Linked DNA regions of Danio rerio. The protein of the gene in region 2 interacts with the protein of the main gene of each other region in a biochemical or structural test. Links are inferred from orthologs where the notes say so. Each region holds a gene or a part of one and is shown on either strand. Other genes may lie near its edges.

Region 1 (3,658 bases), on a different chromosome or scaffold from region 2:
GCACCCAGAGGAAACCCACACGAACACGGGGAGAACATGCAAACTCCACACAGAAATGCCAACTGACCCAGTCGAAGCTCGAACAAGCGACCTTCTTGCTGTGAGGCGTACGTGCTACCCACTGCGTCATCTGGTTTGTAATAATGATTTATTATTTTATAATGTAATATAAAGTAGTTTTGTAAGATTCTAAATTTAACTTTATATTATACTGATTTATAAAAACACAAGCCAATTAAATAACCCCATTTTATTAACATTAAAATTGTATTGCCTGTGATTGAGAGGCGTCATTTTACAGTGTTGCCATGACAGCGCAGTGGCACTATTGCAAGCAGCAGGAGGAGCATGCAAAGAGAAATAAGCGTGTACATTGTGGCATATAAGGCTGTTTTGAACTTTGACCATGGTGTATGCGTAGTTGATGGAGCACTCCGCTGTTCTTGGGCTTTCAACAGTGCAGCAACAAACCGCCCTTGTCTGATGCAAGCCATTGAAATGAATGGGTTTCAAAGTGCAGCATGGCATATTTTGCGGCTCATATTTTAAGCTGCTTTTCTCTCTCAGTGTTTATTTTAATGCCCAGCCCTACTCCTTAATACGTTGCCCATGTTGTTTATATCAAATTATTTTATACTATAAACTATACTAAATTATACCCACTATATTATAGGTATTGAAAATGTGTATCTAGTTGACTAATGAAGTTCTGAGATGTGCAGTTATTTTCAGATAAACTCACAGCTAAAGTAGTTCCAGGCAGGTTTTGACCACAATACGGTCCCATATCACTACTCTGAACGATTTCAGTTATCTAACAATTTTTATTAATCTCTAAAGTCTCTATATTTAAAACAAAACAGAAGCCATTAGATTAGAAATGTAAGAAACTAGTCCTAAACACAGGAGAATTGTGAGGTCAAAACCTTACAGATGTTTTAATATGCCACATCGTCTTTAGGTGTGTTTCAACTGTAGTAGGCAAAATAATTAACATTCATGGAATCATTATGAGGGCGGCACGGTGGCTCAGTGGTTAGCACTGTCGCCTCACAGCAAGAAGGTTGCTGGTTCGAGTCCCCGCTGGGCTAGTTGTCATTCCTGTGTGGAGTTTGCATGTTCTCCCCGTGTTTGCACAGTCATTTGGTAAGCAAAATTGGCCATTCGGAGTGTGTGTGAATGTATGGGTGTTTCCCAGTGCTGGGTTGCAGCTGGAAGGGCATCCTCTGCGTAAAACATATACTGGAATAGTTGTCGGTTCATTCTGCTGTGTTGACCCCTGATAAATAAGGCACTAAGCCAAAGGAAAATGAAAAAAGGAATGAATTATTATTGTGACCACCTTGGATGTGCATTATAGTCTAATAATTCAGCTTGCTGTCAATTATTGGCTAGATAATTTATTGGTCACATCTGCAATCATATGCTAATCTTTTTTTTTACCCAGTGGATATCAGTCAAGAAGAAGAAGAGGAACTTTTGGACATGAAGGTGAAGTGTCTGAACAATATGGCGGCTGCTCAGCTTAAGCTTGACCACTATGAAGCCGCACTGCGCTCCTGCGTCTCTGTTCTGGCGCACCAGCCGGACAATGTCAAAGCCCTGTTCCGCAAAGGCAAGGTTAGTTTCTTGGGTTCAGATGAGGATCGGTTTCACTCACTCTCATTAAATAGTAATGCCTTCCTGAGTTTGGACACAAAAATGCAGGTTGGTCGGTCATTCAGTGGCATTTAGGTTTCCGGCCACAGCAGAGGAAGTTTAGCACTGACTGGCATGTCTTGAGATTAAAAGGTGCTGATGTGTGTTTTTGTGTGTTTGTGTGTTTGTGTGTTTGTGTGTTTGTGTTTGTGTGTGTGTGTGTGTGTGTGTGTGTGTGTGTGTGTGTGTGTGTGTGTGTGTGTGTGTGTGTGTGTGTGTGTGTGTGTGTGTGTGTGTGTGTGTGTGTGTGTAGGTCCTGGCTCTGCAGGGAGAGTTTGCTGAAGCCATTAAAACACTGAAAATGGCTTTGAAGTTGGAGCCAAGTAATAAGGTAACAGAAGTGACAAAATTATTTGATTTAGTTTTTATCTATAATATATATAGTTTAATCTTATTTTATTTATATTATTATTATATTTTTGTTTGATCTCATTTTAATTTTTTAAATGTATACCTTATTTTTATTTACGTTTATATCTTCATCTCACATCTTATTTTACTTGATTTGTTTTACAGATTTTTCTCTATCCTATATGTGTTTTTCTTGTTATTAGTTTTATATTTATTTATTTTTGAGATCTTAATTAATCTTTTATTTTAGATCTTTAATCTTATTGTCTTTTATCTCAATTTATTTAACATATTTTAATCTTCCTCTGGTTTAAGTTCTATATATATTATTTATTTTTGTATGTCATCTTCTTTTATATTTGTATCTTTACCTAATTTATCCAGTATTTTAATGTGTTTGTCTTTTACTTTGTACCACTTTTGTTATCAAAGTTGTATTTCATTGTTTTTTTGTTATTGTTATTATTTTTATGTCTTTAATTGTTTATTTTATTTAATTCTATCTTCGTCTTCTTTCTATTTTGTCTCATTTCCTTTCTAAAATATTATTTCTTTATTTGATCTTATTTTACTTATGTGCTGTTGGGGATGTTTTCATCCGCTCTGGGGTAATTTTGAGTCTTAATTTGACAACTTTTTTGTGTTTCAGCGAGCAGAATGATTTTTTTTTTACATCTTATTTTGTCACATAATGACAAAATGCCTTGGAATTTTTAGTGAACTCAATAAAACACTATGGGCAAATTGACTATCCTTTTGTTATGTTTGGGATGAAAATATCCACTAAATTTTACAGCTGTAAAAATTAATAAAAAAGTTTTTTTTTTTTTTATTCTGTTGCATAAATCTGTTAATCCACCTCAGCCCTGAACAAAAGTACTAAATTGCTTAGACCATTACAAGATTCTCTTTAGTTGACAAATTCACAAATGATCTCACTGATTTGGTGAAGAAAACACACAAAATTACGTATTTTCAAAGTAAAAAGTAATAATCGTGGACTGGATTTTTTAAAAATTTTATCACATGTAAAACAACATTGGGAATGTGAAACAGCATTGACTTTGATGCATTGTTTTTAAATGATTTTCCATTTTTTCTCCCTAATTTACTGTTGGTGGCTGTTTTTGCCCCATTGACTTCCATTATAACCACTTTTTTTTATTGCAAAACCGTGACACCATATAATCATGCATTTTTGATTGTTGGTGGTTTTCCCAGTTGGGAAGACATAAAATTAGCATTTTTACTGTTGATCATCAGTTGGCACCATTAACCCTTTAGATAGGCCTGTGTGAACAACAGCTTAGTTTCTGGACTTTGTATGGAGTATAACAGCAAAATAAAGTGTGTGTATGTGTATGGGAGTGGCATTTGCGCACTTACCATACCTCCAGTTTTTTCTGGGACTTTCTCGTATTTAAAGTTCTATCCCACTATCATCCTGTAAAGGTATTTTCCCATATTCTTTTCCCATATATTTTCAGTCTTTCTCTGAAGGGTGGCAATAAACATTAAAAATGGCAGGATTCCCTTTCCTTTTCATTACAGGTCGCCCCTCCTATGCAATCCACAAAACGTCATATAGCGGTGCGTGACTGTCAGCAGA
Region 2 (4,199 bases):
TACAGCAGCAGAAGACCACACCAGGTGCCGCTCCTGTCAGCTAAGAACAGGAAACTGAGGCTACAATTCACACAGGCTCACCAAAACTGGACAATAGAAGATTGGAGAAACGTTGCCTGCTCTGATGAGTTCTAAAGTTATATCCTTTCAGTGGTTTGTTATGCAGTGACATGCAGTCAAATATTTCGCCAAACAGTCCTTAGGGATGCGGTAAAACGCAGTCAGATATTTTACCGGACAGATCCGCCACTTTTGGCGCGCATAAACAATCATAAAGCTCTCGTGCTGCAGGAATGAGGAGGTCTGCTGAAGGCGCGCAGCTGTCGTGCAGTGAGAGATTTGTGTCTTTAATAAACTACGGCAGTTTGTGATCACTGAACAGTAAGAATGATTAATAAATCCATATGAAACAACCCCTTAAAAGTCACGTGTCTCTTTCAGTTTCGGGCTTTGGCGCGTTTTGCACTGAGCGTCTCTCTCTCTCTCTCTCTCTCTCTCTCTCTCTCTTTCTCACTCACTCACTCACTCACTCACGCGGGCATGCACTGTGGTCTCATGAGGAAACGCTGATTTTTGATATAGTGTTTTCCTTGCTCCCGAATACAAATAATATTTCAAGTATTTGTTCGAATCAAGTATTCGTAAAAACACGCTATTCGTGCCTTTCCGAATACCGTATTCGGGTTCGGCTCCACCCTTAATACATACGTATATATACATATACATATATATATGTATATATACGTATGTATGTATATATATATAAATATACATATATATATGTATATGTATATATGTATTTGTGTGTGTGTGTGTATATATATATATATATATATATATATATATATATATATATATATATATATATATATATATATATATATATATATATATATATACTTTTGTACCTTTAGGGTAATCTATGAGATAAACTATTTAAACATTTTAGGTAATAATATATAGGCATATGTCATTTAAAGTTATCTTGTCATTTTAATCACAGCTCACAAAAGCAACTGAATCCGATTCTCTTAAACCCCCTCTGAGCATAACTAAAACCTTCAGCTTTAGCTTTAGTACTCTAAATCCTTACCAATTAGACCTCCTTACTACTAACAAAGACATTAATATTTTTAAGATCCTTCTGAGTATGACAGATGTTTCTCAAAACACACAAACTCCCTTCTTCTCCCGCCTTCAGTAGTGTGTGAAATGTGAATGAAGCGAGGCGGGGCGTATTTATCATGTCACATCTGTAACCACGCCCTCCCTCAGTGACGTCAGAGGTTTGGTTTGTACTTGCGACGTGCAGAACGCAGAGCAACACAGCCACGCGCTTGTAGAGGAGAGCGCAGCGGGATGGAGCGCGCGCGCTGCACGGTGTCGATCCCGACCCCTGTGGTTTATTTAACGGGAATATCTTACCGTGATGAACGGACGCGGTTGTTCGTTCGTATATGTTGATGCTGACGCGTTGTGCGTGAAAGTTGACCGGTGGAAGCACCGGATTTAAAGGGTCGGTGACATGGAGAAGTGCCCGACAGTTCTGGATCCCGACGGGGATAAGCAGTACTGCGAGCTGTGTGGGAAGATGGAAAACCTGCTAAAATGCGGTAGGTGCAGGATCTCATTTTACTGCAGCAAAGAGCATCAAAAGGAGCACTGGAAAAAGCACAAACTCACCTGCAGAGAGGCTGACAAACACAACACTGTGCCCCAAACCCAACAACAGCACCCCAAAACTGCCCATCCAGAGAAAAACAACCTGATCTGCAGCTCAGAAGCTGATCTGAAAGCCAAACCCCACACACAGAAGCTGGCCACCGATTATATAATCCCATGTATGAACAAGCATGGCATCTGTGTGGTGGACAACTTTCTGGGGGAAGACATGGGACTGTCCATTTTGGAGGATGTGAAGGCTCTTCATCAGACGGGTAAATTCACTGACGGTCAGCTGGTCAGTCAGAAAAGTGACTCTTCGAAGGACATACGGGGGGATAAAATCACCTGGATTGAGGGGAAGGAGCCTGGATGCGAGAAAATCTGCTTCTTGATGAGCCGCATGGATGACCTGGTCAGGAATTGCAATGGGAAACTGGGAAACTACATAATTAATGGAAGGACTAAAGTAAGTATCTGTCTGTCAACTGTGTGCATGCTGTATTTTAGGGTTATGGTGATGTCAAATGTGCATGTTTTAGAGAATTGATGAAGCTTTTCATGTACAGTATTATCACAATAGGTGAATAATAATAAGTGATGAACAGGTATGATAAAAAAAAACGGTTTATCAAATGTTCAGAGTAAACAAATGTTTCAACCTAATTAAATGTAATTGAATTTTAAAATTTTAGTTAGCATATTAAAATCGGAAAAGTCACATTCATTACAGTTACTAAGTTAATATTAGGTGCCATAGTTAATATATGAAATAATTTTTCAGCACTCTTCAGAATAACTTGCTTTGTGTTCAACAGATGAAAGAAACTCATAAAAGTTTACAACCACTTGAGTCTGAATAAATGATGAGGACAATTTCATTTTCAACTGGCAACCAAAATTGTCAGTAAGTTATTGTAAATTTATTTTGCAACCAAACCTGCAACCAAAAATTTCAGTACATTACTATAAATTTATTTTGCAACCAATCTGGCAAAAAAAAAAAAAAAAAAAAAAAATTGTCAGTAAGTTACAGTAAAGTTTTAAGTTACAATAAGTTACTATAAATGTATTTTGCAACTGGCAACCAAATTTGTCAGAAAGTTACCATAAATGTATTTTGCAACCAAACTGGCAACCAAAATTGCCAGTAAGTTATTGTAAATGTATTTTGCAACCAAAATTACCAACAAGTTACTGTAAGTGTATTTTATAACCAAACTGGCAACCAAAATTGTCAATACCTTACTGTAAATGTATTTTGCAACCAAACTGCCACCAAAATTGTCAGTAAGTTACAGAAAAGCTTTAAGTTACAATAATTTACTGTAAAGGTATTTTGCAACCAATCTGGCAACAAAAATTGTCAGCAAGTTACAGTAAAGTTTTGAGTTACAGTAAGTTACTGTAAATGTATTTTGCAACCAATCTGGTAAAAAAAAATTGTCAGCAAGTGACAGTAAAGTTTTGTTACAATCAGTTACTGTAAAGGTATTTTGCAACCAAAAATTTCAGTAAGTTAATATAAATGTATTTTGTAACCAAACTGGCAACCAAAATTGTCAGTAAGTTACAGTAAAGCTTAAAGTTACAATAATTTACTGTAAATGTATTTTGCAACCAATCTGGCAACCAAAATTGTCAGTAAGTTATTGTAAATTTATTTTGCAACCAAAATTACCAGCAAGTTACTGTAAGTGTATTTTGTAACCAAACTGGCAACCAAAATTGTCAATAAGTTACTGTAAATGTATTTTGCAACCAAACTGGCAACCAAATTTGTCAGTAAGGTACAGTAAAGCTTTAAGTTACAATAACTTACAGTAAATGTATTTTGCAACCAATCTGGCAACAGAAATTGTCAGCAAGTTACAGTAAAGTTTTGAGTTACAATCAGTTACTGTAAATGTATTTTGCAACCAAAAATTTCAGTAAGTTAATATAAATTATTTTTGCAACCAAACTGGCAACCAAAAATATCAGTAAGTTACAGTAAAGTTTTAAGTTACAATAAGTTATTGTAAATGTATTTTGCAACTGGCAACCAAAATTGTCAGTAAGTTACCATAAATCTATTTTGCAACCAATCTGGCAACCAAAATTGCCAGCAAGTTTTGCAGTACTTTTTAGTGTAGTGTTTTGGATTTAATTGTATTTTGAATGCAGTTACTCATCATTTATTCAGACTCAAGTGGTTGTAAACGTTTATGAGTTTCTTTTATCTGTTGAACACAAAACAAAATATTCTGAAGAGTGCTGAAAAAAAGCACCCTTTAACTTCCATTGTAAGAACACAAATAGTATAAACACTGGGTGAACTGACCCTTTAAGTAACATGTAGAGTTGAAGGAGATTATTTTCTAGACATAATAGTTTAATAACTCATTTCTAATAACTGATTTCTTTTATCTTTGTCATGATGACAGTAAATAATATTTGACTAGATATTGTTCAAGATACTAGTATTCAGTTTAAAGTGACATTTAAAGGCTTAACTAGGTTAATTAGGGTAACTAGGCAAGGATATGAGTGGTTTG

Evidence for each region. The genes of interacting proteins can lie anywhere in the genome.
Region 1: the proteins of egln1a (region 2) and fkbp8 form a complex in vitro, tested with the Homo sapiens proteins (2 studies listed by BioGRID, with this or other methods). The link is inferred for Danio rerio from reciprocal best matches to the Homo sapiens genes EGLN1 and FKBP8.

What each region holds. Positions count from the first base shown.
Region 1 is NC_133197.1:20,746,063-20,749,720, reverse strand, and holds part of fkbp8 (peptidyl-prolyl cis-trans isomerase FKBP8), read left to right. Parts: intron 1-1,447; coding exon 1,448-1,620; intron 1,621-1,951; coding exon 1,952-2,029; intron 2,030-3,658. UniProt on the Homo sapiens protein: Constitutively inactive PPiase, which becomes active when bound to calmodulin and calcium. Seems to act as a chaperone for BCL2, targets it to the mitochondria and modulates its phosphorylation state.
Region 2 is NC_133188.1:52,997,043-53,001,241, forward strand, and holds the start of egln1a (egl nine homolog 1), read left to right. Parts: upstream 1-1,319; 5' UTR 1,320-1,525; coding exon 1,526-2,131; intron 2,132-4,199. UniProt on the Homo sapiens protein: Cellular oxygen sensor that catalyzes, under normoxic conditions, the post-translational formation of 4-hydroxyproline in hypoxia-inducible factor (HIF) alpha proteins.